Arabidopsis thaliana: one gene and its partners. The protein of the gene in region 2 interacts with the protein of the main gene of each other region in a biochemical or structural test. Each region holds a gene or a part of one and is shown on either strand. Other genes may lie near its edges. The genes, in order: WNK4, PEN3, MSRB3 and SLY1.

Evidence for each region.
Region 1: the proteins of PEN3 (region 2) and WNK4 form a complex in vitro, tested with the Arabidopsis thaliana proteins (one study listed by BioGRID).
Region 3: the proteins of PEN3 (region 2) and MSRB3 form a complex in vitro, tested with the Arabidopsis thaliana proteins (one study listed by BioGRID).
Region 4: the proteins of PEN3 (region 2) and SLY1 form a complex in vitro, tested with the Arabidopsis thaliana proteins (one study listed by BioGRID).

What each region holds. Positions count from the first base shown.
Region 1 is NC_003076.8:23,581,770-23,589,408, forward strand, and holds WNK4 (with no lysine (K) kinase 4), read left to right. Parts: upstream 1-3,019; 5' UTR 3,020-3,735; coding exon 3,736-3,795; intron 3,796-3,869; coding exon 3,870-4,135; intron 4,136-4,212; coding exon 4,213-4,436; intron 4,437-4,513; coding exon 4,514-4,671; intron 4,672-4,750; coding exon 4,751-5,060; intron 5,061-5,130; coding exon 5,131-5,430; intron 5,431-5,514; coding exon 5,515-5,912; 3' UTR 5,913-6,032; downstream 6,033-7,639. Other genes in the region: AT5G58330 (lactate/malate dehydrogenase family protein), read right to left, coding at 1-42, 161-254, 346-518; AT5G58340 (myb-like HTH transcriptional regulator family protein), read left to right, coding at 838-1,887, 1,974-2,164, 2,280-2,343, 2,435-2,476. UniProt on the Arabidopsis thaliana protein: May regulate flowering time by modulating the photoperiod pathway.
Region 2 is NC_003070.9:22,032,797-22,042,782, forward strand, and holds PEN3 (ABC-2 and Plant PDR ABC-type transporter family protein), read left to right. Parts: upstream 1-1,626; 5' UTR 1,627-1,864; coding exon 1,865-2,702; intron 2,703-2,784; coding exon 2,785-2,915; intron 2,916-3,191; coding exon 3,192-4,454; intron 4,455-4,540; coding exon 4,541-4,697; intron 4,698-4,776; coding exon 4,777-4,881; intron 4,882-4,960; coding exon 4,961-5,106; intron 5,107-5,190; coding exon 5,191-6,032; intron 6,033-6,120; coding exon 6,121-7,048; 3' UTR 7,049-7,330; downstream 7,331-9,986. Other genes in the region: AT1G59865 (uncharacterized protein), read right to left, coding at 204-501; AT1G59885 (uncharacterized protein), read left to right, coding at 9,512-9,802, 9,921-9,986. UniProt on the Arabidopsis thaliana protein: Together with ABCG37, regulates auxin homeostasis and responses by playing a dual role in coumarin (e.g. esculin) and in the auxin precursor indole 3-butyric acid (IBA) efflux transport, thus influencing cotyledons, roots and root hairs development.
Region 3 is NC_003075.7:2,436,670-2,442,872, forward strand, and holds MSRB3 (methionine sulfoxide reductase B3), read left to right. Parts: upstream 1-2,850; 5' UTR 2,851-2,904; coding exon 2,905-3,119; intron 3,120-3,847; coding exon 3,848-4,004; intron 4,005-4,109; coding exon 4,110-4,268; 3' UTR 4,269-4,536; downstream 4,537-6,203. Other genes in the region: AT4G04790 (Tetratricopeptide repeat (TPR)-like superfamily protein), read right to left, coding at 1-21, 170-289, 411-509, 631-726, 825-938, 1,021-1,128, 1,238-1,302, 1,391-1,570 and 3 more; MSRB4 (methionine sulfoxide reductase B4), read left to right, coding at 4,743-4,840, 5,478-5,634, 5,734-5,898. UniProt on the Arabidopsis thaliana protein: Catalyzes the reduction of methionine sulfoxide (MetSO) to methionine in proteins. Plays a protective role against oxidative stress by restoring activity to proteins that have been inactivated by methionine oxidation. Involved in cold tolerance.
Region 4 is NC_003075.7:12,560,370-12,566,008, forward strand, and holds SLY1 (F-box family protein), read left to right. Parts: upstream 1-2,909; 5' UTR 2,910-3,288; coding exon 3,289-3,744; 3' UTR 3,745-4,113; downstream 4,114-5,639. Other genes in the region: AT4G24204 (RING/U-box superfamily protein), read right to left, coding at 1,700-2,079, 2,184-2,253, 2,360-2,446; VEP1 (NAD(P)-binding Rossmann-fold superfamily protein), read left to right, coding at 4,850-4,888, 4,978-5,639. UniProt on the Arabidopsis thaliana protein: Essential component of the SCF-type E3 ligase complex, SCF(GID2), a complex that positively regulates the gibberellin signaling pathway.

The DNA of each region.
Region 1 (7,639 bases), on a different chromosome or scaffold from region 2:
TGCAATATTAATTAACTTCTTCCATGATCTTGTCTCTTCTTCCTGGCAAACACACACATAATACTATTATATCCATGTAAAGCAGAGGATTATCTCAATTCTCAAGTCTCAAAGATAAGATTCTTTTATAGAAAAATAGTAAGAGGGAATAGTAAGATACAGCTTTAAGATCATAGGTGAGGCAGAACACTCCATAACACTCTTTCTTCGTCTTCACCAATCCATTTTCTTGCACAGCAACAGGAGCTTGGCTACTTTTATCATCAATTCACAAAAGCATCTAAGATCAGATAAAGTTGATTTATTTAAGAGAGAAGAAACGATTAGGAGCTTAAAGAGACTTACTTTTGAGAAACGGAGCAAGAGATTTTGGAGTTGGGAGTTGTTGTGTGGAGAGGTGGAAGAAGAAGATGGCGAAAGTGGTTTGAAAGGTGCAATTTTGAAGAGAGACGAAGCCGAGACGAAGAGTTGAGAAAAGGCGACGTCGTTTTGGGGGTTGAGAGCTCTGCCATGGCCATTATCGCACAGACACAAACTGTGAAAGTGAGATTTCAGAACTGGAACTATGGAGAGAGAGCGCGCCAAGCGACAGAGTAGTAAGAAAGAGGATTGGGGAATCTATGGATAAGGCTCAGCTCTTGACACTTGTCACTCTTTTAGCATCCTCACCGTTTATCTTCTTTTGACTTTTAGGCCCAGTTAAGGCCCAATAACAGAATATACCTGAAACCGTTCGAATTTGATCACTGATCGGAGATTTTCGTCTTCGCCGGCGACATTGCATCCGCTGACCAGAGAATTAAAAAAGTTGCGACTTTGATCGCGAAAGTTTCAATAATGGAGGTCATTGATCAATGGGTTGCTGAATTTTTCCTCCTTCGACAACACAATCCTAGGGCTTCCCCTATTAATCTGATTTCGGCGCTAAAATTAGGAGATTCCTCCGACTGCATAAAGCTCAAGATATCTTCCGTCTTGCGTGACATCTCCAATTCATTGATCCGAGGTACGATTGATGAGGGAATGCTCGATCTTCTCGAGATTCTTGAGAAGCTTCTCTTGCAGCAACATTCGCTACTCATGGATTCTCACAAGTCTGCTTATTGCTGGACGGCTACTGAGTGTACGCTTAGATTTATGTGGCCAATGTTTGCTTCGGATGGTTTGTTCACCGATGCGCTTGAGAGGATATGGACGAAGAGGATTGGGATTTTGAAGGAGAGTGGTAGCGATTTGGTGACTTGTGACTTGTTGAAATGGGAGAGTGATTTGAAGAAGGCCCTTGGAGATCCTGAGCTCTATCAGCGAATTCGTGAGACTAACATCAGGTACACTGCCATTTCCTTTCTCACTCAGCTTCTCAAAGAACAGTGGGCATTACTTGGGAGTTCCTCTCTTGAATCAGTAGCTCAAAGAAGGTTTCTTAAGCGCAAGGCTGTGAACGTAGAGGGTGATGTTGTTGACAACAGAGGGGATCAAAGTGATGTTGATGAAAGCACGAGACGTTTTGGGAGTGATACTATTGATATCGCCAACGAGGCGCGTGGTGAAAGGGAGGACGGGAATGGGATTGGTAGAGACAACGCTAATGATGGTGAAGGAATGGAATGTCTGGAGAATGATGGGATTGATAATGTGAATGCAGCAGACGAGGAGCACACAGTGAGTGCACAAGATCAGGAACATGAGCCAAGTCTTGATAAGGGAGACGAAATGGCTGCTCGAGAGCTGAAGGAATATTTAGTAGAGATTCAAGGACACATCGACCCTTCCACTAGGCAAGGGGAAGAACCTAACAGTGCAATTGATCACTCAGTAGATGTCACTCCTCCGCCTACTCGGGTGAATAGGACTGGAACAGGCTGTCAAGACCATAACGAAGCATCGGTGAGTGTTAGTCAATTTTCCCTCAAGATGCTTTCTAAAAATCTTGTTCTTTGGTTCATGAATTTGTGGTTTAATTGTGAAAACAGGATAATGTAAATGAGAAAGGTTCGGATAGTCAGGAAACATGGTCTAGCAGAGTTCGGCCTCGTCGACCAACCCCTGTAACTCTGAGTGTATCTCCATTAAAGAAAGGCGGATTGGCGAAACCACATGTCAGGAGACCAAAGAAATTCTGGAAGCCAGAAGAAGTGGAAGCTCTGAGGGAAGGAGTAAAAGAGTATGCAAACACTCTTTGCCTAGTCCCGTACTCTATTATCAATATTCAATAGTGATACATCTTGGACCTCATTAAGATTATACCACTGGCTCATTTTGTTGTTGTTGTTGTGCAGGTATGGTAAATCATGGAAAGATATAAAGAATGGAAACCCTACAGTATTTGCGGAGAGGACAGAGGTGAACATTTCCTTATTAACATTCATACTCACCATTTACTTGAACAAGATATATGCCAAGTGTGAGTGATGTAAATGTTGTAACTTGGTAGGTGGATTTGAAAGATAAATGGAGGAACTTAGTCGGTGGGTAGAGGTAACATCTTTTGTGAATCTTGTGCTATATGTTTTAAAATGCTGTAGAGTTATTTACCTTTGTGTATTGTGATATATCAACTGTGGAGAACATGGTGGAGAAAGGGCCATTCCCATGTTGTGTGGTGAATGATAATGATGAATGAGCAGAATATAATTATATGCTTGTGGGAAAAATTCTGGCTGCAACCTCTGTAGTCAGTCAGTGTCAAACTTATACGGCTTTTCTTGTTTTAGATATATTCCATCCTTATCTTCATTTCCTAATTCCTACCATGCTTCCCTCTCTCCTTTTCCACGTGTCAACTAACATCTAAACCAGAACAAAACAGTAGTCAAAAAATGCATAACCATTTTGATCTATGATATTGCCTGTCAAACATTCGGACCCTCCTTAGATATTGCCTGTTAACATTCAGACCCTCCTTAGATAAAAAGCGAAGTAATATGATGGGAGCTCTCATGCACATACTTTATTGGTGAATGCATATTTGTTACGTGTTATTAGTTTATTACAGAACCGTGAACTCCTTGAGGGCTGCAGGAACTGGCCGCCAACAAAAACAAAACAATTTTCAACGGTGATGTCACTATCACTCTATTCTCTACAACTTCTTGTCATGTTCCCCACTTCTGTTCTGACTTTTCCCCTTTTCTTTGTCGTTTTATTTTTGTTAACCTCAATCTATTTATTTTGGATTGCTTGTGTTCACCAAACTAATAATTGGTTCAATTGAAAATTGTGCAGTTTCCTCAAGAAACAAAACTCTTTCCTGAATATCGCATTTCCCAGTATCCACACTTTCTTAACTCTTATCCTCTTTGCAATTGTGTTTGTGGTTCACAAAATAAACAAGGGCATCTTTTGAGCATATTTAGCCATGTGTTTTCAATGTGGTACACGTTTGATGATTTTTTTTTCATTTTTGTGGTTTGAGTATCTTGTATTGGCAAGTAAGATTTGTCAAACTTTCGATTTTTAGATTTACAATTGGGTCAATAAAAATAAATATATGATTTTCTATAATATATGTGATGCAAGCAAGGTTAAGGCAAATTGTCTTTATTCTTTTTATCCCAAATGGGTGATTGACGCCAACGACTGTTCAACATATTTTCTGCTGACGCTTCTTTAATGAAGTAGCACGAAGAAGTAAACAGGACGACTTTTGGCCACCGGAAAATTTCTCTGTTATAAAAACGAAAGTCTGTGTCCTCTTAAACATTTTTGGGATCATCAATCGGTTTTTGGTCAACCATGAATATGAATCAAGTTGCAGAGTATGTGGAAACTGATCCAACTGGTCGCTATGGACGTGTAAGTAAGGAGACAGATTCTATGTTCATGGATCAAAACCTTGTTGTAACACTTGGTTTTTTATGTTGGAACAGTTTGCAGAAATTCTTGGAAGGGGAGCGATGAAGACAGTGTACAAAGCAATCGACGAGAAGCTGGGAATAGAAGTAGCATGGAGCCAGGTGAAGCTTAAGGAGGTTCTGCGTTCCTCTGTTGATCTACAGAGGCTTTACTCCGAGGTTCATCTCCTCAGCACTCTCAACCACAAATCCATCATTCGTTTCTACACTTCCTGGATCGATGTTCATAACCACACTCTCAACTTCATCACCGAGTTGTTCACTTCAGGGACCCTCCGACAGTAATTCGCTTAAACCTCTTCTTCTGACAAGATTATTCAGCTTTTGTCTTTTATGACCCTGTCCCGTTCATATGCAGATACAAAAATAAGTACTTGCGGATAGATATCCGAGCAATCAAGTCCTGGGCTCGGCAAATCTTGGAAGGGCTAGTTTATCTCCACGAGCACGACCCTCCTGTTATCCATAGAGACCTTAAGTGTGATAATATCTTTGTGAATGGGCATCTTGGACAAGTCAAAATTGGTGATCTTGGTCTTGCAAGAATGCTGCGGGACTGCCACTCGGCCCATAGCATCATTGGTATGTCTCAAAAATCGTTTGTTTTCACTTCTTGTCCAAATCATATGCTTAGACCTCTTTGTGTTTCTTTTGCATAGGCACTCCTGAGTTCATGGCACCAGAATTATATGAGGAGAACTATAATGAACTCATTGACGTATATTCCTTTGGTATGTGCTTTTTGGAGATGATCACCTCTGAGTTCCCGTATAGTGAGTGCAACCATCCGGCACAGATTTACAAGAAAGTTGTTGGGGTATGTCTTACAATCTGTGAGCATATAAATGAAGCTGTCAGATGAACCAGGCATGAGTCTTCTAATGTTCTCTTTTCAGGGAAAGCTACCAGGAGCATTTTACAGAGTTGGAGACATCGAGGCACAGAGGTTCATCGGGAAATGCCTCGTGTCTGCCTCAAAGAGAGTATCAGCAAAAGAACTATTGCAAGATCCATTTCTTGCCTCCGATGAGTCCTGGATGGTATACACGAGCGGTGCTGGGAATCCAAAGCCCTTCTTGAACGAGAATGAAATGGACACACTGAAGTTGGAAGATGATGAGTTAAGGACCGAGATGTCCATCGCTGGGAAGCTGGGCGCTGAAGATAACAAAATCGATCTGGAAGTACAAATCGCATATGATAATGGTAAATGGGACTAAATTGATTAAGCTGGTCACTTTGTTATTCGGTCGCATAATTGTTTTTTTCTTTCCAGGTCTGGCCAATAATGTATTCTTTCCCTTTGACATCATGAATGATACTTCCATTGATGTTGCAAAGGAGATGGTAAAAGAACTCGAAATTATAGATTGGGAGCCAGTCGAGATTGCTAAAATGATTGATGGAGCGATTTCTTCTTTGGTGTCTGATTGGAAGTATGAGGAAGATGATGAAACCCCTCATGATCATCATCGTCATCGTACCGATTCTTTTCACTCTTCTTCCTCGCACGCGTCATCTTCCCAAGCTTCACTCTCGAACTATATGGCTCGAGGCCTTCAAGATTGGGTACAAGGTATGGAAAGTAACACCAGTCTCAACGTGCATAGTGTGACAATTGTTTTTATAAAAGTTTTTGAGATAGAAATTAAAATTGCAGATGATTTACACGATGAGACGTATTCTCAGAGTTCTTCCCATTCAGGGTCTTACTCCAACCTCAACTACATAGCTGTTGATGAGTACAGCTCCCAATCTCCTGTTATGAGCAGAACTCACAACATGACGAGGTTTTGCCCCGAAGAAAGCTCTCATCTACAGTCAGGACAAGCCAACGCGTATGCAGCTTCCAGTTCAACTAACAGAAGCTTGGCTTCAGACAACCGCACACTTACAAGGAACCGATCACTTGTAGACGTGCAGAGACAGTTACTGCACCGGTCGCCAGGGGAAGAGGCTAGAAAAAGAAGATTGTTCAAAACTGTTGGAGACGTAGAAACAGTTGGGTTTCAGTCACCTTATGCGGTTTCACGGAAGCCACCAAGCTCAAGGCGCTAGCTTCTCCAGTATTTTAATTACTGTAATATATAAGTATACTGTAAAAAACAAGTTTGCTGGTTCAAAAATGTAAAAAGTACATGTGTTTAATAAAGTTGTTCAAAGGGTGTGTTTGTGTTACAGAGAAAGAGTCCTCATGGTGAAATGACTCAAATGTAACCATCTATACCAGAACAAACAGTAGTCAAATATAACCATTTTATCTATGCATGATATAGCCTGTTAAAACTCGGATCCTCCTTAGATACAAAGCTAAGTAAGATGATGAGAGCTCTCATGCACATATATATATGAAATGGTTGATGCCATATTTGTTGTCTTATTATTAGATATCTTACAAAAACATATGTGTTATGTTTTAATGACAATTTAGCTGACATAGAAGGATAGTTTAAAGTTTCTAGGTACGGTCTTGTCAATGCAAGTGATAGATGAGCTTCAAGTAGATGCATTGTAATCCAAGCCACGGAGAAACGCCATGTAGTCTGATTTGCCTAATTCAAAGTCAAGTAAAGCTGCTATTGGGTCGACATGTCCAGCTCCATAGTAGAGTATTTATTAGTTGGGTTTGGCTTTATCCACAAAAGCTCATTTTAAACCAGAACGATCTAGCATTTTGGCGTTTCAATAAAAAAATATTGCGTCGCTTTCTATTTTCATCGGTTTATTAAGGGTACCCTTTTATTAACATGGAACCATTTTTCTTTTTCAGGGAATATCTTCTTCTATTGTCTATTTTTTATAATGAACGTGTAATTTGAAAATCCTTAAAAATGTTTTTATAACTCTTTCAAAACTCTTAAAAAATCCTTGTAATTTTTTTTAAAGTCTTTTAAAGCTTTGTAAAGTTCTTAAAAATATTTGTAAATCATTTTAAATCCGCTTAAAATCTTTATAAAGTCTTTAAATACACATGTAAATACCTTTGTAAATCTTTGGAAAAAAAACTCTAAAGTCTTTAAATACACTTGTAAAATATTTGTAAATAATGTTTTAAAAGATTTTATAAGACTTTTAAAACGATTTACAAAGGTTTTTAAAAACCTTGTAAATTCTTTTAAAAACTCTTGTAAATCTTTTAAAACCATTGTAAAAGGTTTTACAAGGATTTTAAAATATTTACAAAGGTTTTTAAAGTATTTACATATGTATTTAAAGAATTTATAAGGATTTTAAGAGTTTTTAAAATGATTTACAAGGGCTTTTGACAACTTTACAAATTTTTACAAATTTCTTTTAAGAGTTTTTCAAGGGTTTTTCAAGAGTTCTTTAAAATTTACAAAGATTTTTAAATGCATTTTTGGGCGGGAAAAAAAGTTGGTACGGAGAAAAATTTTGGCAGGAAAATTTATTGGGCGGGAAATGTTGGTCATTTTGTTCGGGAAAATTTCAGATTTTGTCAACTTTAAATATCAAATAGAGTATAAAATCTCAATAAAATCAAAAAAAAATCTGAAATTTTCTTATAAAATTGTGTGTGATTATGGAAGATGAGTTCTCGCTTTCTACTATCATGAATACAATTGCTAAAATGAAAAATAATATGTATTTCATGCTTAAAGCATGTGAAAGATATGAAGATTTTATTTCTAAAAACAATAATAATAATAATAAAGTTATGAAGATTATATTCATCATAGGTCTAATTAGGCCGTTAGTGGAGATGATTTTGTACATTTTGGAATTTGAGACATATGAAGTAAACCGTATAATACTTTACTTTATTG
Region 2 (9,986 bases):
AACCATAGCTTGAACATTGTGGAGCCCAAATGAAAAGGTATAAGTTGGCTGCAAAAGATACAAATGAAAACTGTGGAAAAATTCTTGAAGACTGAGATAAGTACACACTCAAAATGAGTTTTTCAATTCTAAGACTATGTGGGAACAGCGAGAACTTCAGTTGTGTGGAAAATTGGGAACTTGGCAAAGTGAATTTGTCTGACCTTCAGGAAAATGAGAAGAAGAAGAAGCATGTATGAAAAATACACTTAAGGAACTTGAGGAGAAGAGTGAGGATTTGTAGGAAAGAGTTGGAGAAGCGGAGACTGGAAGCATGAAAGTCGAGGCAAAGAAGGTTGCTTTAGAAAACAGAAAGCTCAGAGCAATGAAGGTTTTTTCTCTTGAAAAACTCGATAACTTGTCAAAGGTATATGAAAGCTTGGTGGATACAAGTGAAGCGTTTTTAAAGCAAGGCAAGGATTGGAGAAGGTCTTGTTGATATGTCAACCATAGCTTGAACATTGTGGAGCCCAAATTAAAAGTTATAAGTTGGCTGCAAAATATACAAGTGAAAAGTAAGGAAAAATTCTTGAAGACTGAGATAAGTAAACACCCAAAATGAGTTTGTCCATTCTAAGACTGTGTAGAGACAGCGAGAACTTCATTTGCGCGGAAAAGTCGGGAACTTGGCAAGGTAAATGAGAATAAACTGAAGGAACTTGAGGAGAAGAATGAGGATCTGTAGGAAAGAGTTAGAGAAGCAGAAACTGGAAGCATGAAATTTAAAGGAAGCTTGTTGGTCAACGAAGTCAAGCCAAAGAACATTGCTTTAGAAAACTCAGAGCAATGTAGGTTTGTTCTCTTGAAAAAATCGATGAGTCGTCCTCAAAGGTAAATGAAAACTTGGAGTATAAACTGCAGACTGAAGAAGACCGAGAGCTTAATTGACAAAGAAACCAACCTATAGAGCATTACTAAAGAAGCTGAGAAGAGCTCAGGAAAATGAAATTTGCTGGCTGAAGGAATGAATTAGACATTGGTTAATACACAAAATGCAGAGCACTAATCAAAGATTAGTTGAGAAAATAGCCAAACGCAGAGTTTAAGAGGAAGTCAATGGAGTCTTCTTATCATAACAACATTGAGGAGTTGTCACTAAAACTTCTTATTCCGGGTATTTAAATGGCTTCTTCCTCCGCAACTTCTCACTTTCCAGAACACAAAGACTTATAAACAAACCATCCTTCACGTATGTGTTGAATTGAAATGTGAATGTGACTTCATCAACACAATGACTTCAAAACCCAACGACGGTCTTCCTTTCTTTTCTCACCAATAAAATGTAGAAAAGAAACAAAGTACACAAGAAAGACTTTTCATTTAACGATATCTCCACTAGTAGTAGCTATAACTAAATGGGGTCATCGTTATTGACTTTGAATAAGAAATGTTCAAACACTTCAATTATTACATAATATCTTTGCAATAAAATAACAAACGTTAAAGAGCCGTCGCATTATTAGCACAAAAAATATCTTTTGTAAATAAAAAAACAACGTAAAAGAGCCGTCACATTTGAATAATAAAACCCATCTTGCACATAAAAAACACGACTTTTTATTATTTTTGATTATTTCAACAAAGTATGAATAGTCAACATAAAGAAAAGTCCGCCTTGATGTTCCTTCCTCACTCCCTATTTATCCATTTTCTAATCCCACCCTCTTCTCTTCATTCATCATCTTCCTCCTCTCTCTCTTCTCTGTATCACCCAACTAAATCCTCACGGGATTAGATCCAAAGTCTCAAACTTTGATCCAAAAACACAAACTTTGTTCAAAAGACATAAACTTTGAGCCAAAGTCACAAGCTTTCTTGGTGAACGATGGATTACAATCCAAATCTTCCTCCTTTAGGAGGAGGTGGTGTTAGTATGAGAAGAAGCATAAGTCGAAGTGTAAGCAGAGCAAGTAGGAACATTGAAGATATCTTCTCATCTGGTTCAAGAAGAACACAATCAGTCAACGACGATGAAGAAGCTCTTAAATGGGCTGCCATTGAGAAGCTACCAACTTACAGTCGTCTCCGAACCACTCTCATGAACGCTGTAGTCGAAGACGATGTTTACGGTAACCAGCTCATGAGCAAGGAGGTTGATGTAACCAAGCTTGATGGTGAAGATCGTCAGAAGTTTATTGACATGGTTTTCAAAGTAGCTGAGCAAGATAATGAAAGGATCTTGACTAAGCTAAGAAACAGGATCGATAGAGTTGGTATCAAACTTCCAACTGTTGAAGTCAGGTACGAGCATTTGACGATTAAAGCTGATTGTTACACTGGTAATAGATCTCTTCCTACACTTTTGAATGTTGTGAGGAACATGGGAGAGTCTGCTTTAGGTATGATTGGTATTCAATTTGCTAAGAAAGCTCAGCTTACGATTCTTAAAGATATCTCTGGGGTTATTAAACCTGGAAGGATGACACTTTTGTTGGGTCCTCCTTCTTCTGGTAAGACCACTCTTTTGTTGGCTTTAGCTGGGAAACTTGATAAATCTCTACAAGTCAGTGGTGATATTACTTACAATGGTTACCAACTCGATGAGTTTGTTCCGAGAAAGACCTCTGCTTACATTAGTCAGAACGATCTTCATGTTGGTATCATGACTGTTAAGGAGACTCTTGACTTCTCTGCTAGGTGTCAAGGTGTTGGTACTCGTTATGGTAAGTAAAAGATTCAATCTTTAATCATATCTTTTTTTCAAGATTCAGTTTTGTTGAATGGTTTTGATTCTTGTTGTTGTAGATCTGTTGAATGAGCTTGCGAGGAGAGAAAAGGACGCTGGTATATTCCCGGAAGCCGATGTTGATCTCTTCATGAAAGCTTCTGCTGCTCAAGGTGTTAAGAACAGTCTCGTCACTGATTATACTCTCAAAGTGAGTCCAACTCTCGCCTTAACTTAGCTCATCTTGTTCTTTTTGTTTCAAGAAGAGTGTTTGTTACTAGGCAAGCAACTCATAAAATCGAATCGAACTAAATCGTTTTTTATAAACCGAAACTGAACCGGAATTTATTCATTAACCGTTTGGTTTCATTATTTTAGAATATTGATATAAGTTTTCATATTCTAAAAATGTTCTAGACAATCTTTTCTCATGTTCATAAAGTTTTGAGTCTTTTTTTGTATAATACTAACTTTGGCCGTGTAACAGATTTTGGGGCTTGACATTTGCAAAGACACAATAGTTGGAGATGACATGATGAGAGGTATATCTGGAGGTCAGAAGAAACGTGTCACAACTGGTGAGATGATTGTTGGACCTACTAAGACACTCTTCATGGACGAAATATCCACTGGTCTTGACAGTTCCACTACTTTCCAAATCGTCAAGTGTCTGCAACAAATCGTTCACCTCAATGAAGCCACGGTGCTCATGTCTCTCCTCCAGCCTGCTCCTGAGACTTTTGATTTATTCGATGATATCATCTTGGTGTCGGAAGGTCAGATCGTGTACCAAGGACCGAGAGACAACATTCTTGAGTTCTTTGAGAGCTTTGGGTTCAAGTGTCCTGAGAGAAAAGGAACAGCTGATTTCCTGCAAGAGGTTACTTCCAAGAAAGATCAAGAACAGTACTGGGTGAACCCGAACAGACCTTATCACTACATTCCGGTTTCAGAGTTTGCCAGTAGATACAAGAGTTTCCATGTTGGGACGAAGATGTCTAACGAACTTGCAGTACCGTTCGATAAGTCTCGCGGCCACAAAGCAGCTCTTGTGTTCGATAAGTACTCTGTCTCAAAGAGGGAGCTTCTCAAGAGCTGTTGGGACAAAGAGTGGCTGCTTATGCAGCGAAACGCGTTCTTCTATGTTTTCAAGACTGTCCAGATCGTCATCATTGCTGCAATCACGTCTACACTCTTCCTGAGAACCGAAATGAACACAAGAAACGAGGGTGATGCTAATCTCTACATAGGAGCATTGCTATTTGGAATGATCATCAACATGTTTAATGGGTTTGCGGAGATGGCTATGATGGTTTCAAGACTCCCTGTGTTCTACAAACAGAGGGATCTCTTGTTTTATCCATCCTGGACCTTCTCACTTCCCACTTTCTTGCTTGGGATTCCAAGCTCAATATTAGAATCGACGGCTTGGATGGTGGTGACTTATTACTCCATTGGTTTTGCACCTGACGCCAGCCGCTTCTTCAAGCAGTTTCTTCTGGTGTTTCTGATTCAACAAATGGCTGCATCCCTCTTTAGGTTGATTGCTTCTGTGTGCAGAACCATGATGATTGCTAATACTGGTGGTGCTCTCACTCTACTTCTTGTGTTCTTGCTCGGAGGCTTCCTTCTTCCGAAAGGCAAGATTCCTGACTGGTGGGGTTGGGCTTACTGGGTATCTCCTCTCACCTATGCTTTCAACGGTCTAGTAGTCAATGAAATGTTTGCTCCCAGATGGATGAACAAAATGGTAAGTGGCTTACTTCTTTATTCTGCATTTTACAAACAAATATCATAGTAAAGCCGCCTCTGAGTCATATTTTTTTCAAATTACAGGCTTCTTCTAACAGCACAATAAAGCTTGGAACTATGGTGCTTAATACTTGGGATGTCTACCATCAAAAGAACTGGTACTGGATTTCAGTTGGAGCCTTGCTTTGTTTCACAGCCCTCTTCAACATTCTATTCACCTTGGCACTTACCTATCTCAACCGTAAGTTCTCGTGTTGTATCACCCGTTTTACCAAATCTAAAAACAATAGACTACTAATAATGTACCTTTGAAACTACAGCTCTTGGGAAGAAGGCAGGTTTACTTCCAGAAGAAGAAAATGAAGACGCTGATCAGGGGAAAGATCCAATGCGTAGATCTTTGTCTACTGCAGATGGGAACAGAAGTAAGTAAACACATTTCTTAATCTGCTTAGATGTTTTGCTTTTCTTGTACTCTTGTCTCATTCTGCTCCCTGCTATCAGGAGGAGAGGTCGCAATGGGGAGAATGAGTAGGGACTCTGCGGCTGAAGCATCAGGTGGTGCAGGCAATAAGAAAGGAATGGTTCTTCCTTTCACTCCTTTAGCTATGTCCTTTGACGACGTCAAATACTTTGTTGACATGCCTGGGGTAAGTAACTATCTTCACTTAAAATCTTTACACTAAATTAAATATGAATTACTTAAACTAAATAGATATCTTTTGATGGTATAGGAAATGAGAGACCAAGGAGTTACAGAAACAAGACTCCAACTGCTTAAAGGTGTGACTGGTGCATTTAGGCCAGGAGTTTTGACTGCGCTTATGGGAGTGAGTGGTGCCGGTAAGACTACGCTTATGGACGTTTTGGCCGGAAGGAAAACAGGTGGATACATTGAAGGAGATGTGAGAATATCAGGATTCCCAAAGGTTCAAGAAACATTTGCTAGAATCTCAGGATATTGTGAGCAGACCGATATTCACTCCCCGCAAGTAACAGTCAGAGAATCTCTGATTTTCTCTGCTTTCCTTCGTCTTCCTAAAGAAGTCGGCAAAGATGAAAAAATGATGTTTGTGGATCAAGTGATGGAATTGGTAGAGCTGGACAGTCTTAGGGACTCCATTGTTGGTTTACCGGGTGTCACGGGGCTTTCCACGGAGCAGAGAAAGAGACTGACAATCGCGGTGGAGCTTGTAGCCAACCCTTCCATCATCTTTATGGATGAGCCAACTTCAGGGCTAGACGCTAGAGCAGCGGCTATTGTGATGAGGGCGGTAAGGAACACAGTGGACACTGGAAGAACCGTGGTCTGCACCATTCATCAGCCTAGCATTGATATCTTTGAAGCATTTGATGAATTGATGCTGATGAAGAGAGGAGGACAAGTGATTTACGCGGGTCCATTGGGTCAAAACTCTCACAAGGTGGTTGAGTACTTTGAATCTTTCCCCGGAGTGTCCAAGATTCCAGAAAAGTATAACCCGGCCACTTGGATGCTCGAAGCTAGCTCACTCGCCGCTGAGCTAAAGCTTAGTGTTGACTTTGCTGAGTTATACAATCAATCAGCATTGCACCAGTAAGTTTAAGTTCCTTCTTTTCCATGGCTCATTGCATCTGATTGATTGTTTAAGTAATAGTACTAATGAATACATAACAAAATGCAGGCGAAACAAAGCGTTGGTAAAAGAACTAAGTGTACCACCAGCAGGAGCATCAGATCTTTACTTTGCTACACAATTCTCACAAAACACATGGGGACAGTTCAAATCATGCTTATGGAAACAATGGTGGACGTATTGGAGATCTCCAGACTACAATCTTGTCCGTTTCATCTTCACATTGGCAACATCTCTCTTGATTGGTACAGTCTTCTGGCAAATCGGAGGTAACAGGTCGAACGCAGGGGATCTAACAATGGTGATAGGAGCATTGTATGCCGCGATTATCTTCGTGGGAATCAACAACTGTTCAACAGTACAACCGATGGTTGCAGTGGAAAGAACAGTGTTCTACAGAGAAAGAGCAGCAGGAATGTACTCAGCCATGCCATATGCCATCTCTCAAGTCACTTGTGAGCTTCCCTATGTCCTTATTCAAACCGTTTACTACTCACTCATCGTCTACGCCATGGTTGGTTTCGAATGGAAAGCCGAAAAGTTCTTCTGGTTCGTCTTCGTTAGCTACTTCTCATTCCTCTACTGGACTTACTACGGCATGATGACTGTTTCCCTCACACCAAACCAACAAGTCGCTTCGATTTTCGCCTCAGCGTTTTACGGTATTTTCAACCTCTTCTCTGGTTTCTTCATTCCAAGACCCAAAATCCCAAAATGGTGGATTTGGTACTACTGGATCTGCCCTGTTGCATGGACCGTGTATGGATTGATAGTGTCGCAGTACGGTGATGTGGAGACACGTATCCAAGTCCTTGGTGGTGCTCCTGACTTAACCGTCAAGCAATACATTGAGGACCATTATGGTTTCCAATCTGACTTTATGGGACCAGTGGCGGCTGTACTCATCGCTTTCACCGTCTTCTTCGCCTTCATCTTCGCCTTCTGCATCAGAACTCTCAACTTCCAGACCAGATAAAACCATCTCTCAAACAACAAAGTCTCTTTCTTTTTTTGTATCCTCTGTGTTGTTTATATGCACTATAAGCTTTGTATGTTCTAAATATGTATTGTAGTGTCATAACGAAATTTTTTTGAATATTTTTATTTATTGTCTTATAGATGATGACGAATCGGAATCATGTAATATAATTCCACTTTTTTTTGTGTTTATATCCACAAATCCCTCAAAGTCCATTTTTGTTTGTTTCTTGAGACTTTTTATTTTACGATACTTCCAATAAGAGGAAGAAGACAGAAAAAAAGTGTGATCATATCCATTATCAAAGAAGACAAAATCAATGGAGGATAAGTTAATGTTCTTCATGATTAAATCTTGATAATTGTATAACATGGTTCTGTAAAAATTATCACAACACAACACCAATATCATAAAGTTTAATGAGAAATCTCAATAAATCAGTTTTTCTAAATATAGAAAAGTCTATCTTACAACGACAAAACGATTTTGAATTTTGGATTAAATCACCTAAAATTTCCTTAAATCCTACCAAAAGTCCTCCCAATCAAATTTCCATTTAATCATACCCAAATGTTTAGGCCAATACACCACCCTATATCTTGATCATTGCATAATATGGTTTGGATTCCTAAATTGATCCGTTCAAAATATTTAGACCCTTGTCATCTTATATAGCATATGATATAACCCTTTCTTCTTACTGGGCCTCGATGAATTATTTATGAAACCTGGCCCATTAGGAATTTGAAGAAAAAAATATTTTAGGGGCGTTCCGAGAATTGAACTCGGGACCTCTCGCACCCTAAGCGAGAATCATACCACTAGACCAAACGCCCGTTGTTGAACATATGTTGGATAACAATATATATATATTATTATATAATTTCAATGATTTCTTATTTTGGCCAAATTATTCTAGTTAATGCAAATTTATAATAAAAATATCATCAAAAATATTTATTAGAATATTAAATCGAATCAAATGTAAAACAATGTTAACCATCTGATTTGAACCTACGTTTGTAATTCTCACTCTATATCATCAAAATAACTTTATTTAGATAACACTTCAACTCGTTAATTATCCATTATGTAGATCAAATAACTTAACTATTATATGAAATCATACATGACCAAGTTCTTTTTACACTAGGTCTATATAGAAAACAATGTGAGATTTAGTATTATGCAAAAAATAAATTGAGTCTCTTTATACATCATCAATAGAATAACATCTATATGATAAAAAAAATTGTATGAACATTTACCAATATATTAAATCATCATTGATACGTTAAAAATAATATTAAATTTTGACTTGAACATTCACTTTGACGTCTTACTATTTTAAAATCTCATTAATACTAGTATTTATTTTTGTTATAGAATATCATCAAATGATCTTAATATATAGATAGATGATCAACTCATTATCCATTATGTAAACGAAATAACTTAATCTTCATATAGAAACATACGAGTAAATTTTATTTTTAATTTAACATACATATATGAGAAAGACGTGAGATTGTATATACTGCAAAAAATAAATTGAATCCCTTTGTACATCATCAATAGGATAACAAGTATATGATAATAATTTTGTCGAAATGCTTACCCACATATTAAATCGTCATTGATATGAATAATGTTAATTATTGGATTTTAATATACACTTGGAATTCTTATTATTAGTAGTTAAAAATCCCACTAGCACGGATCTTATTTGTTATACGCAAAATATAGTAAAAAAAGAAGCTACATATTTAGATTCATGTAAAAATAATAACCACATAAGACAAATTTATGTAGTAGAAAAGGTTGAAACAATTTTGTACAACTTTTAAGAATTGTCAATATAAACTAAAGCTTCATATTAGAAAAAATTGTTTTTATTTTCCAAAACAAAACCAAATTTTCATTAGAATATATGCTGTAATTAGAAAGTGTCATTGTATTCTTGCTTTTTCTAATTCAGTCTTCTTATTTTTGCAGGAGTTCACTAACAATAGTGATCACAAATCAACCAACATCAAAATTACACTTATCAAATAGAACATGAATCTAAAAAAAGATAAGAATACTAACAAAATCGAAATAAATGAGAACTAAAGCTCCTCACATCCTTCTTCTCTGCACATGTCAAGAATATGACGTATATTGGCGGTGGCGTTGATACACCAATTTGAAACCAACCCTAAACTTAAAAAAAGTTTAAACGAGATGAACACCTCTCTATTTAGGAGCTCGTTAATATCTTGCTTAGACGTCACATGAGATTGATGGTACATGTCATGGAGTAAAATAAAATCTTCTCTTCTCTGTGTCTCTGATGAGGTCATGGAGTATGGGTAGCTTTATGATAAAATAGGAACTTGTTTCAGAGTATTTAGAAGTAAGTTATTTCTATTTTCTATCATGAAAACATTTCCCAATTTTGAATATCTTTTATATACTCTCATGGCTGTGTTTATCAAGATCATCAAAGGCGTTTTCTTTTTCCCCACCAAAGGCTCCTTCATCACCACCAAAGGTACCATCAAGATCAAATCAAATTCAAATGGTATCAATGGCTCCTTCTTTCACCTCACTACTAATGACTTTTTCTTCTTCACCACCAAAAGCCTCTCCTTGCCTCTCCTTGCCACCAAAAGCCTCTCCTCGGCTCTCCTCGCCACCAAAAGCCTCTCCTTGGCTCTCCTCACCACCAAAGCCGAATCGTTTGCTCTACTTACCACTATCACCAATAAAGTCAGTTATGTGTTTCAAAACAAACGAGGAAGGGGAAATAATAGACTTCTTTGATATATTTATTGACCATTTGGTCTCAAAGAATCATCACATCCTTACCTGAAGAGAGAGCGTGAAGTATGGTTATTGGGTTGAGTTGGCTTTAGAAGCACTGTTTGATATTGAAGTTGAGTTTGAGTCTAGT
Region 3 (6,203 bases), on a different chromosome or scaffold from region 2:
TTGCTTCATCTCCTCATAGTACTTAAAAAAGGCACAAACATATTTCTCACTCATAATACACAAAGAAAGAGAGTAGAGATATTTTGTAGTGGCGTTGACTTGACACGACTCCAAGTTAAGAAGAACAAGTAGACAAAAGATCTAAAGAACAGAAAATTCTGAATTTTACCTTAGTAATAGCGTCCTCCTGGGTACAGTTGTTTATTAGATAACCAAAAGTTATGGAATCAGGTTTAACGCCAGCTTCCTTCATTTGCTTGACGACCATTAACGCACTACTCACATTTTTCTTCAAAACATACAAAAGCCATCAGCTGAAAACGATCTAAGAGACGTTGGGAGCTCACAGAAACATGGACAATCTCTCAGGTCAGAATTTGCAAACATGAAATGGGAGCTTAAGATATTACCTCCCTAAAATATCCAGCCAATATACAATTGAACATGCTAGAGTTTGGTTCCAAATTGAAGTTCTTTAAATTACCAAGCATATTATATGCACCTTCAAACTGCACATGAAACCAAAAGATATAGAGAAACATTTTGTGGTTAGAGAAACAAGCGAAGCAGCAACTGTAAGAAACAGCACAGACATGTCCTCATCTGTAACATAGGGTTTGAGGAAGTTACATCTTTGATTCTTGTGCACAAACGTATAATGCTCCGGAAGTTCTCAGTATTAGGTTTCACACTCTTTGTGCACATAATTGAATGGATTCTTCGCACCTTAAACAGCAAAAGTATGAGGAAATCCGTTTCATATATGAGCAGAGTTCAACTGTATATTGTCTGGATATAGATTCAAGCTAAATGAGGATGCACACCAAATCAAACTCAAGAACTTCATCAATGGCATGTAACAATGAATGTAGGATATCTGCGGATATCATCAAACCTGCTTCACCCATTTTTTCAACTACATCAAGAGCAGTGACTACCTACGGCACAGAGAGAATACTCATTATATATAGCACACGAAATACAGCCAAATTTATTATAAAACAAGCATAATAGGAATACCTCATTCGAGTCACAGCTATACTTAACAAGCTTTTCGTACGATGTAGATGAAGGCATAACATCAAGTTCTTCATGCATCTTGTTAAATTTTAAGATTGTATCCTCAACCTTTAATTGTAGAAAACCAGTAAAACATGGACAATTAGGAGGCATCGATTATCTAACCAAAGACTTTAACAACACTAATCTGCCACTAATATTCATGAGAAGTCCTTACCGTTGGATTTGGGGTGCAAGTAGAATAGATAGAGATGAGATCAGAAACGTTCTTCACTCCTTCATCTACGCATGTTAATGAGAAACATATAAAACATGCTATAAAAATGATGTTCTACAGGCATAAACATGTTATTGGACAATGCAGCCTTACCACTTTCTCTTAGCTCCCAAAGGAATCTACTCGCAACAGAATCCAATGAAAACCTCCCAAGATATTCAAATATGTTTGCCAATAGGTCCGACGAACGAACTTTTGTTATGTCTACAATCTCTAAGAGCCTCTCAAGATGGTACTTTTGGTCTTTTTTACATAGTGCAAGCAGATAATTTTCTGTTTTTTTAAGGATCAAAAAGGTTAAATCTTTCAGAGTAAGAGAGAGCCACAAAACAACAGAGTGCACAAAACTGAATATTGCTTACCTTGCAAGACTGATAAGCTTTCACCGTTATCACCATCAATTGTACTGCAAAGTTCCTCAATCTTCTCTCCATCACCAAGATGGATCCAAAGAAGCATTTCATAGTAACCAAGTCTCTCAACGGAACCGGGACTAGCCTCCCTAATCACATCCTTGAAACTATGAAACTCATCTACCATATCCATACCAATCAAATAACCAAGAAGAGGACCATAAACTCTTTCTTCAATCAAAAATCCACGATCTCTCATAGATTTCAAAAGCTCAAAAGCCTTCTCAATATGGCCAAGAGCATAATCTAGATCATTGCTTTTCTCAGCATGCTCTAAGTAAACACCAATCATTGCATTGTACTCTGTCACACTCATCTCTTTAGCTACTCTATCAAAAGCACCAAACATAGCCTCAGTGCCTAATTTCTGAGCAGAGTCTCTAAATATCTTAGCGAAACGCCGTGACAGACCGTTCTGCTTGTAAACACGTCTCTCTTTCCTTTCACGAGACAACTCTTTCGTTCTTAACGAAATATCATAAGGGATCTTAGTGGTGAAACTTGGTATCTTTAAAAATAAGTTCTTCTCCAAAGAGCTTTTATCTGATGTTGTTACTGAAATGTGATTCAAACTATGAATGAATGAGAGTTTGTTGAAGAAAATAGACAAAATTGGCAACACATACCATGTAACAATTTCGATACTCGATCTTGTAATGATGCTTCCTCAAGATCTACACACAATTTTGCATGAAATCAATCGAATTCTAAACATTACCCAGATACAGAAAAATATCAAATTTACAACGAATTCATTCTAAAGATCACATTTTTCTTATATTTGTTCATATCAGAAAATCCGAATTACCTGAGGAAGAGTTTTTGGAAGAGAGAAGATCTTTGACAGCTTGAGAAGTTCCGGCGATGTCTTTGTTGCCGGAAGCAATTGAAGATTCGCCGGTGGGTCTAATACGGGATTTGAAGACTGAACTTAATAAGCTTTTGTTAACCTTTGAGACAACCATGTTCGGATTTCAAGTGAGATTGAGAAGATGAAGAAGAGCAAGTTTATAAAACCCTGAACAAAAACCCCGACAGGGTTGTTCTATCCAATTTTAAACCTTAGGGGTGATAATTTAATCAATCATATAAATTAGGGGTAATCATGTAAATTAACAAGATTAGTTGAAGAAGAATCGTCAAATTTTGATTTTGTCTTGTGGATTCTTCAATTCAAAGATTATAAATTTATTGATGAACATCGTCAATTCAAAGATTCTCTTTTTATCATTCACGCTACTTCTTCTTCTTCAATCGTCAATCGTTGAATCCGATTCGATTTGCCTCTCTTCCGGCGTAGCTTCGACGGTGGCAATGGCGGCTCCGGGATCGGTTCAGAAAGGAGATGAAGAGTGGCGTGCGATTCTTTCACCTGAACAGTTTCGGATTCTTCGTCAAAAGGGCACTGAGTAAAGTTTTTAACCTTTCCTCAGCGATTTTCATGGTTCAATTTAGCTTTCAAAATTTGAGCAAATTTGGTAACTATCTTCCATTAGGAATCCTGGTTTTAGAAATCTAGGGTTTTTATTTCATAACTCGCTTAATTTGTGATTCTCAGAGTTAATAAAGGTTTGAACTTTTTTTTTTTTGCCAATTGTTGGAACATTTATTTTTCAGGGGTGTGTCTTGATGATGAGCACTATGTTGATGATTAGATCTTCTCTCTGTGTAGATTACATAGAAAGTTTCTGCTATAGATGTTGATCTGTTAGGATAAAGTCTATTCTTTTGAGTGATTGGAAACAATACAAATTTCCTGCTATTATAGATGTTGAGCTGTTAGGATAAGCTTACATGAAAGGTTATAGTTCTTCAAGGATACTATCTTTCATTACTCTTAAACTCCAGATGAGTTTGTTTTTTTTTCTTATTAAAGATAAGATCTGAGTATTGGTTTTACCAAGAATGTGCTACGACTTTAAGAGCTCGACTTTAGAACTTGGTTGCTCTGTCAGGTTTTGTCAGTTCCTATAGAGCCTTTACTATTATTAGCTTCTGTCTTAGAATGGATTGCTATGTAAATGACCATTAATATGTCTGAGTTCGTCGTTGGGGTTTTGGTCTTTCTAGTATTTGGATATCTTATTGAATAGGGAATGAATGTTTATATTGCGGGTTTGTGTTTTGTTGATTTCAGATATCCAGGAACAGGGGAATATGTCAACTTCGACAAGGAAGGAGTTTACGGTTGTGTAGGATGCAATGCTCCTCTTTATAAATCCACCACAAAGTTCAACGCTGGTTGTGGCTGGCCAGCTTTCTTTGAAGGAATCCCCGGTGCCATTACCCGAACGGTAAAGAAAATACTCTCAGAGCACAAACACTTTTTTCATCAAATTGGTAACAAAAATGAACTCTCTCTTCTTTGTGTATTTTGCTTACATTTGTTGGTTTATCAGACAGACCCAGATGGGAGAAGAATAGAGATCAACTGTGCAACATGTGGTGGACATCTTGGTCATGTTTTCAAAGGAGAAGGTTTCGCTACTCCAACCGATGAACGCCATTGCGTGAACAGCGTTTCGCTTAAGTTCACACCCGCAGCGTCTTCCTTGTAAATCTTGGCCGAACAAGATTATTTGTTCTTTCTCTGGATTTTTTCACTCAAGTGAGTGGGAGAAAAACAGAACAAGAATCTTGTATGAGTGTGTGTGTCTATACTGTGTACTGTATTTTTTCTTTCATGACTATTTAAATTCATCACCTCGAGCATTTTGACAACAACTGTAGTCTGTAGTATGTATGATTTGTAACTTGAATAAAACACACTCTTGTCTTGTAATACAAAATCTATACTATGTTACGCATCTGTGAGACTCTATTGACACGTGCATGATACACCAGTCTAAAGATTCACAACAGTTTCATATGAATCTAGACTCAAAACTAGGAACCATACATCACTGAAATTATGTACAAATAGATCACTGTAATGATTCAAGAACCTACCTGATCATTACGCTTGCTTGCCTCTGTTAATATTTCAGCTTCTGGTTACTCTCTGTTGTAGTAGCTTCTTCGTGGTGGTTGTCATGGCGGATCTTGTGACGGTGGTTAAAAAAACAGAGGAGGAGTGGCGTGCAGTTCTTTCTCCTGAACAGTTTCGGATTCTCCGTCAAAAGGGCACTGAGTAAGTCTTTGTTTTCTTTATAAATTTGGGTTTAGGGTTTCATAGTTTGTGATCTCAAGTTAGGCCTTGTTGTTTATGTACTCATATTTTGAAAGATTGGATTCAGAAGATTGTTGATTTTTGATAGGTTCACTATGTTGTTACCTTTTCAAGGATAAGCACTGTAATTAGGCTTCAAGTAATCATAGACTGAATCTTGAAAACAAAATTAGGGGAAAATTGGATCTAGATGCACATCAAACAAGTGTAGTGTTGCTTCTTGCTTTTGGTCTTTGTTTTGATTGTTTCAAACGCGGTTTCTGCAAACGGTTTGCGTTTTGCGTTTATGTTTTCAATTAACAAAGTCTTTTTAGCTTAGAATGCTTAAGATTGTTGATTTATTTTGAAAAGAAAAAACTACACTAAACGCAATCGCAAACAAACAGTAACGACCTTAAACCCTAAACCCTAAACCTAAGTGTTTTATTGGTTTTCTCAGTTACTATAGAACTTTGTTTTTAGATTTATCCAAGTATAGATTGCTCCTTCTTTTGTTACGATTTTTGGGGTGATTTATTTCAGTTCTTACTTTGAAACATAGTATACAAATGCATAATACAATTCAATCCAAGTGTTCTTATGGTTAAAAATATTTCAGAACGCCGGGAACAGAAGAATATGACAAGTTCTTTGAGGAAGGAATCTTCAGCTGCATCGGATGCAAAACTCCTCTTTATAAATCCACCACGAAGTTTGACGCCGGATGCGGCTGGCCAGCTTTCTTTGAAGGACTCCCCGGTGCCATTAACCGAGCCGTAAAGATTATCTTTTGTATGTTTAATTTAGTTTATTTTCATGACTACTGGTTAGTAAAACATTCTTCTTTTTGCTTGATTTGATTCTACATTTACCAGCCTGATCCAGATGGGAGAAGAACTGAGATCACTTGTGCCGTATGTGATGGACATTTAGGCCATGTTCATAAAGGTGAAGGTTATAGTACTCCAACCGATGAACGCCTTTGTGTTAACAGCGTTTCGATCAATTTTAACCCGGCCAAACCTTCCTCTATAACCTGAGGACTAGTTGATCGTACATTACTTTCAAATCAGATTGTGGTGTTCAATTGTAGAATCATCATCACGTTACAAGGATCAATGTAACAGATAATAAGAATCATTAGTGGTTCTTAAAATATGTCTGTTTAGAAAATATATATATATATATATGTATCCTGTTTATAACGACAATTCTCATTTTAATACATTTTAGTAAAAATGTTCAGCTTAATTTCCCCACTACAAAAGTTTCCACTAAAGAAAACAGATAATATCAAATTAATGGAATAAATAAGCCTAATTTTCTTTAAAAATTGTAATGTCAT
Region 4 (5,639 bases), on a different chromosome or scaffold from region 2:
CATCTATTTAAAAATCATGCCAACCAAATCCCAGGTCCAGGATCAAAACCCTAAAATTGAGAAGAAGAAAAAACTAGCAAAATTCAACACATGTGGAGAACTATACGACAAATAATATGAGATTAAGCCAATTCAATGAATAAGATTCCAAAGATCAATTCAAAAAGTGATTAAAAAATTGAAGACAGATGACCAAATGAATACCACTAATAAACCCTAGGCGAATTTCAGAGCTATTCATCATTGTAAAAAGAGAGAGAGGAATATAGAACTCACCACGAAGCACAAGGAAGACGAAACCCTAGGTCAAGCGAGTTAGCCGTTCCGACAGAACCGATGCGCACTCGCATATCCCAATCTCTTTCCTTGTCCCTCTGTGTATATATATGTGTATATATCTCTCACTCAGTTACGATTTATCACAGGTTTTTTAAATCTCCGGGCAACGATGGTTGGCAGCTCTGAGAGAAAACCTCGTTCTTCTTCTTCTTCGAGGAAAAGGTTGTCGCGAAAACGAGAGAGAAGAAAAGGCTTTTTCTTCGTTTATTCTTTTTGGCAATAAATATTTAATAACTAAAAATCTTATGAAGCGATTGGTGAATATTTATTTTTTTGCTCAATTTCGTTTGCGTTTTTTGATGAAAACTGCACGTGCTAAGCGTGTGAAGAGTGAATCGGTAGGGACTCACGGCCCGGCTCATTATGTACCAACTTGTGTGAGTCAACAAGAACCCACCCATATGGTTCCACCACAACCCATTTTTGCGGAATTCTATGGGGAACAAACAAAAATCAGATAAATTCCGTGAATATCCTAATCCATAATATAATAATTAAGATTTTTCATATGGTTAAAATATGTTTTGAATTTTTTGTTATATTTGCAATATGTTACTTTGTAGAGTTTTCTTATGTAGACCTTTAAATTTATGAAAGTAGTTTTTTATTTTTATGATTTATTATTTGATTTTAGCATGGTAAATATTGTTGATACATTCTAAAATACCAAATACTAAATTTATAAGAACATATACACTATAGCTCAAAACCCAATATTTTCTTTCTTCCAATTATAATCCGGCATAAACTATAAGGTGGTGTTATTCAATCATGGATTTAATAGAACTGAAATTTAACACTAATCCAATGTTATTCAATTAATGATTCTAAACTATACTTTAAAATCTGTTGTTATGAAATCTTTACATTTGTAAATCATGCTTACTAGAATCTATAATTTGGTGTTATTCAACTAAGATTTTAAATACTTTCATTAACATCCAATGTTATGAAACTCCGAAAAAATTTCATTTCAAATGGCTCAAAATAGATTTTTAAAAATAATTTCAAATTTCAAATCTAAACTTTACAGAATTGATTTTAATTTCATGATACACCCCCAAAAACGCAAACAGTTGGCATGATAAATACAAATCGGTTTACCGAAAAAGAAACAAATCCAAATGCTAGTGTGTACATTGGCATGGAATTGTCTTTGTTTTTGGTTGTTAAAGAATTGCATTGTTAAATTACAGATTGTATGGAATTATAGTCTTGTGGTGACACCAAAGATACTCGGATCTTTCTTTCACTTGTGTCGCTGAAAACTGAAAAGAACAAATAATAATAAAACGCAAAGCAAAGGGCGTTTCTTGGAAGCATGAGTTCGCAAAATGGTGATTAGGCAAAGCAACGGCGCTCAAAGCTTTTTCAACACTAATCTCTTTGATTTGCGTATCACCCTTCGGCAAATCGGACACACCTTACTTTCTTCCGACAAGATCCTTTGAGCACAGCCGCGACAAGTGGCAGAGTGACCACACGGTACAAAGAAACAGTTTCTACGTTCCTCGAAGCATATAACACACAGTGTCGAGTAGTCCACATCATCCGACGAGCTAAACGACGCCGTTTCTACATCTCCCTTCCCCGTTACCTCCAACGACTCATTGATCAACGGCGGCGTCCAATCGGTGGTGACTTCTTCTTCTGCCACCAATGGTAGCCTCTGTGTGTCATCCTCCATGTCACATTCGCTCAGGAATTTCAATACCAAATAAGTAATCGTCATTATTGTTCCTGAGAAACAATAACAAAAACAAAAAAACAAACAAATTAGCTCTACATTGAAGATAAATAGTACTCCATATGTTAATTATATAAATATGGGAGAAATATAGTACCCAAAACTGTAATATAAATCACCACTCTAGCTGAGAAGGATAGCCCCAAGTACCATCGAACGAACTCATCCTGCAAAATACAAGTTACTCGCATATATATATTAATCCATGGTTTCGTCAAGTTTTTTTTTTTATATAGAAAATTGAGTAGAGCTAGGAGCTAGAGGGGTACTCGCGTTATCCGATGGTAACTTGATGGAATTTAGTTTACGGAAGAACATATATAGAAGCTGCAGACATTTTGAGATCGTGGCATCGAACATTTTCGAGAGAAAAGAATGATCCAGTGAAGATAGAAATGATTTGTTCTCATCTGAAGTTATATTGAATTTCTTATTGTTTGTTAGAGAGCATTAAACAAATGAATTTCTGATTAATTCCAAGCAATTGTCATCACTCTGACAGTATATATAGATTGTGTCAAAAGACTCGTCGTGCAATCCATATTTATTAATTTGATCAGAAAAAGAGGCAAAATACAAGTTGCTGACACAAACTTAAAAAGAAAGGTACAGTACAATTTCCTAACTCTGATTTAATAATACCTATTTGTTAAAAAGGACAATTCAAGTGAGAAAATGAAAAGGCACCCAAATAATTCACTCTGTTTAAGTCCTAAACGACTGATTCTTTTATCTGAAAATACGTGATGCTAAATTAGTCAATAGTTGAAATAAGATTTAAAAAATGGATTATCCGTTAATTCACAAAAATTCCTAGAGGTCTCTCTGGTACATTCAATGAACACTCTTTTTAATAGTTGAAAATAAACATTTGGGAAGAACTAAGAAGAAACAACATTATAAGATGGGCTTGGGCTTTTTGTTGTATTGTTTTTTATGTTTTACAATTTTATTTAACAAACAAGATGACAAAAAAAAAAAAAAGGACTCCAAAAGTCCAAAACAGCTATGGAGTATATGAGGGTAAAGTCGTCATTTTACAAAAAGCATTTTTATCTTCGTTTTGTCGTCTTCGAAAGTTCTCAAAGAGAAGGCATCTGAGAAACCCCAATCTCTAATCTTCTTTTCAATTCAATACTTTTTTTTCTCAATCTCTCCTCTCAAATCAAACAACTTTGATTGATCTTCGCAATCGATTCCACATGAAGCGCAGTACTACCGACTCTGATTTGGCCGGTGATGCTCACAACGAGACAAACAAGAAGATGAAGAGTACAGAGGAAGAAGAAATCGGATTCTCCAATTTAGACGAGAATCTAGTGTACGAGGTGTTGAAACACGTCGACGCAAAGACCTTAGCTATGTCATCTTGCGTGAGCAAGATCTGGCACAAAACGGCACAAGACGAGCGGCTTTGGGAGCTGATCTGTACTCGTCACTGGACTAACATCGGCTGCGGGCAGAACCAGCTCAGATCTGTTGTGTTGGCGCTTGGTGGCTTCCGAAGACTCCACTCTCTTTACCTCTGGCCTCTCTCTAAACCCAATCCGCGTGCTAGGTTCGGTAAGGACGAGCTTAAACTCACTCTTTCTCTTCTCTCAATTCGATACTACGAGAAGATGAGTTTCACTAAGAGACCTCTTCCAGAATCCAAATAATTGACTACAAATTATTAGAGTTTGGTTTTGGAGTTTGTGTATTTGGAGTTTGTTGATTGGTAAGTCAGATGTGATGTTCAATGCTGGCAATAAAATTTGTTGGTATCCATAAGCCAGACTGTTAGCAACAGTTGTGTTCTGTAATAATAGAGGGTGATGAGAATTTTTAATTACTGTAATCGGAGCTGATTAAAAGTAGATTTAATATCAAATGTGATTCGATTTTGTTGTAATGGTTCTGTCGTGAAGTTAAGTTGGTCCGTAGTTGGACAATGATTGTAACAAAATCGATTCGTGATCCAGTTTGGTAAGATTAAGAACTGTTAGTGACGATTCTGTTTTATTATTCAATGAAAAACAATGTTCACCAATTTGGTAATAAACCTAACATTCACCACTTTAAGTCCAAACCGGAATCAACGTCAAGCTATGTAATGTTGCTTATTTCTTTATGTCCTTCGTTTGTAACATTTCCCGGTGGTTACTACTCTGTCGGATCCAGTTTTGCCGTCTAGTTTTTACAGCGGTACGATAAATCTCAAATGTTGTTTGATTTGGTTATTCTTGCGATGGTTAGCCTTAATTTCGCTAGATTTATGTGTATTTGAGTGATAGCTACAAGCCTACACATCATTACCATGTACCACCATCTCCTTATTCAAATCAGAATCATTATCGCCGTAACCACTTTTGTCATTTTCTTTTTTTATATGTCGGTAAAGAAAGAATAATGAAATAAAGAGGTGTAAGTAAGAGTCAACAAAATAATTTAAGAGCTTGTGTGAATTGATAAAAACACTCCTTTTCTGTTCTTGGTTTTATATGAAATTTATAAACAAACTCGAGTGATTACAAAGAACTTATAAACCACTTATGTGGCATACTAAAATTTAACAAAAAAAAATGTTTTGCGAAAAATAAGAAGATTTTGTTCATCTTTTTTGGTAAGATGCCAGTTTAGCTAAAGATATTTTTCATATATAAAAATGACAATAAACACATTACAAAAGACAAACCCCACACGGCTCTCTCTAGCCAAATTACTTGGCCACGACCATAAACACAAAACACCGCTTAGCTTCTAAAATCTGAACATCGAGAAAAAATGAGTTGGTGGTGGGCTGGCGCCATCGGAGCTGCCAAGGTAAATTTCAATTCAATCCTTCAAATCATATCCTCCGATCTTCATCTTCAACTGATTGAAAATCATCTCTTTAATTTGTGTACTCGCAGAAGAAACTCGACGAAGATGAACCATCACAAAGCTTCGAGAGCGTCGCTCTCATCATCGGCGTTACTGGAATCGTCGGAAACAGCTTGGCGGAGATTCTCCCTCTTTCCGACACACCCGGTGGTCCATGGAAAGTCTACGGCGTCGCTCGTCGTCCTCGTCCTACCTGGAACGCCGATCATCCGATCGATTACATCCAGTGCGATGTCTCCGACGCCGAAGACACAAGATCCAAGCTTTCCCCTTTAACCGATGTCACACATGTCTTCTACGTCACCTGGACCAATCGTGAATCGGAAAGTGAAAACTGTGAAGCAAATGGCTCAATGCTCCGTAACGTTCTCCAAGCGATTATCCCATACGCGCCAAATCTCCGACATGTTTGTCTCCAGACAGGGACAAAGCACTACCTTGGCCCTTTCACCAACGTTGACGGACCTCGTCACGATCCACCGTTCACTGAGGATATGCCGAGATTGCAGATCCAGAATTTCTATTATACCCAAGAGGATATTCTGTTTGAAGAGATCAAGAAGATAGAAACCGTGACGTGGTCTATCCACAGACCAAACATGATCTTTGGGTTCTCTCCTTATAGTTTGATGAACATTGTTGGGACTCTCTGTGTCTATGCAGCGATATGTAAGCATGAAGGGTCTCCGTT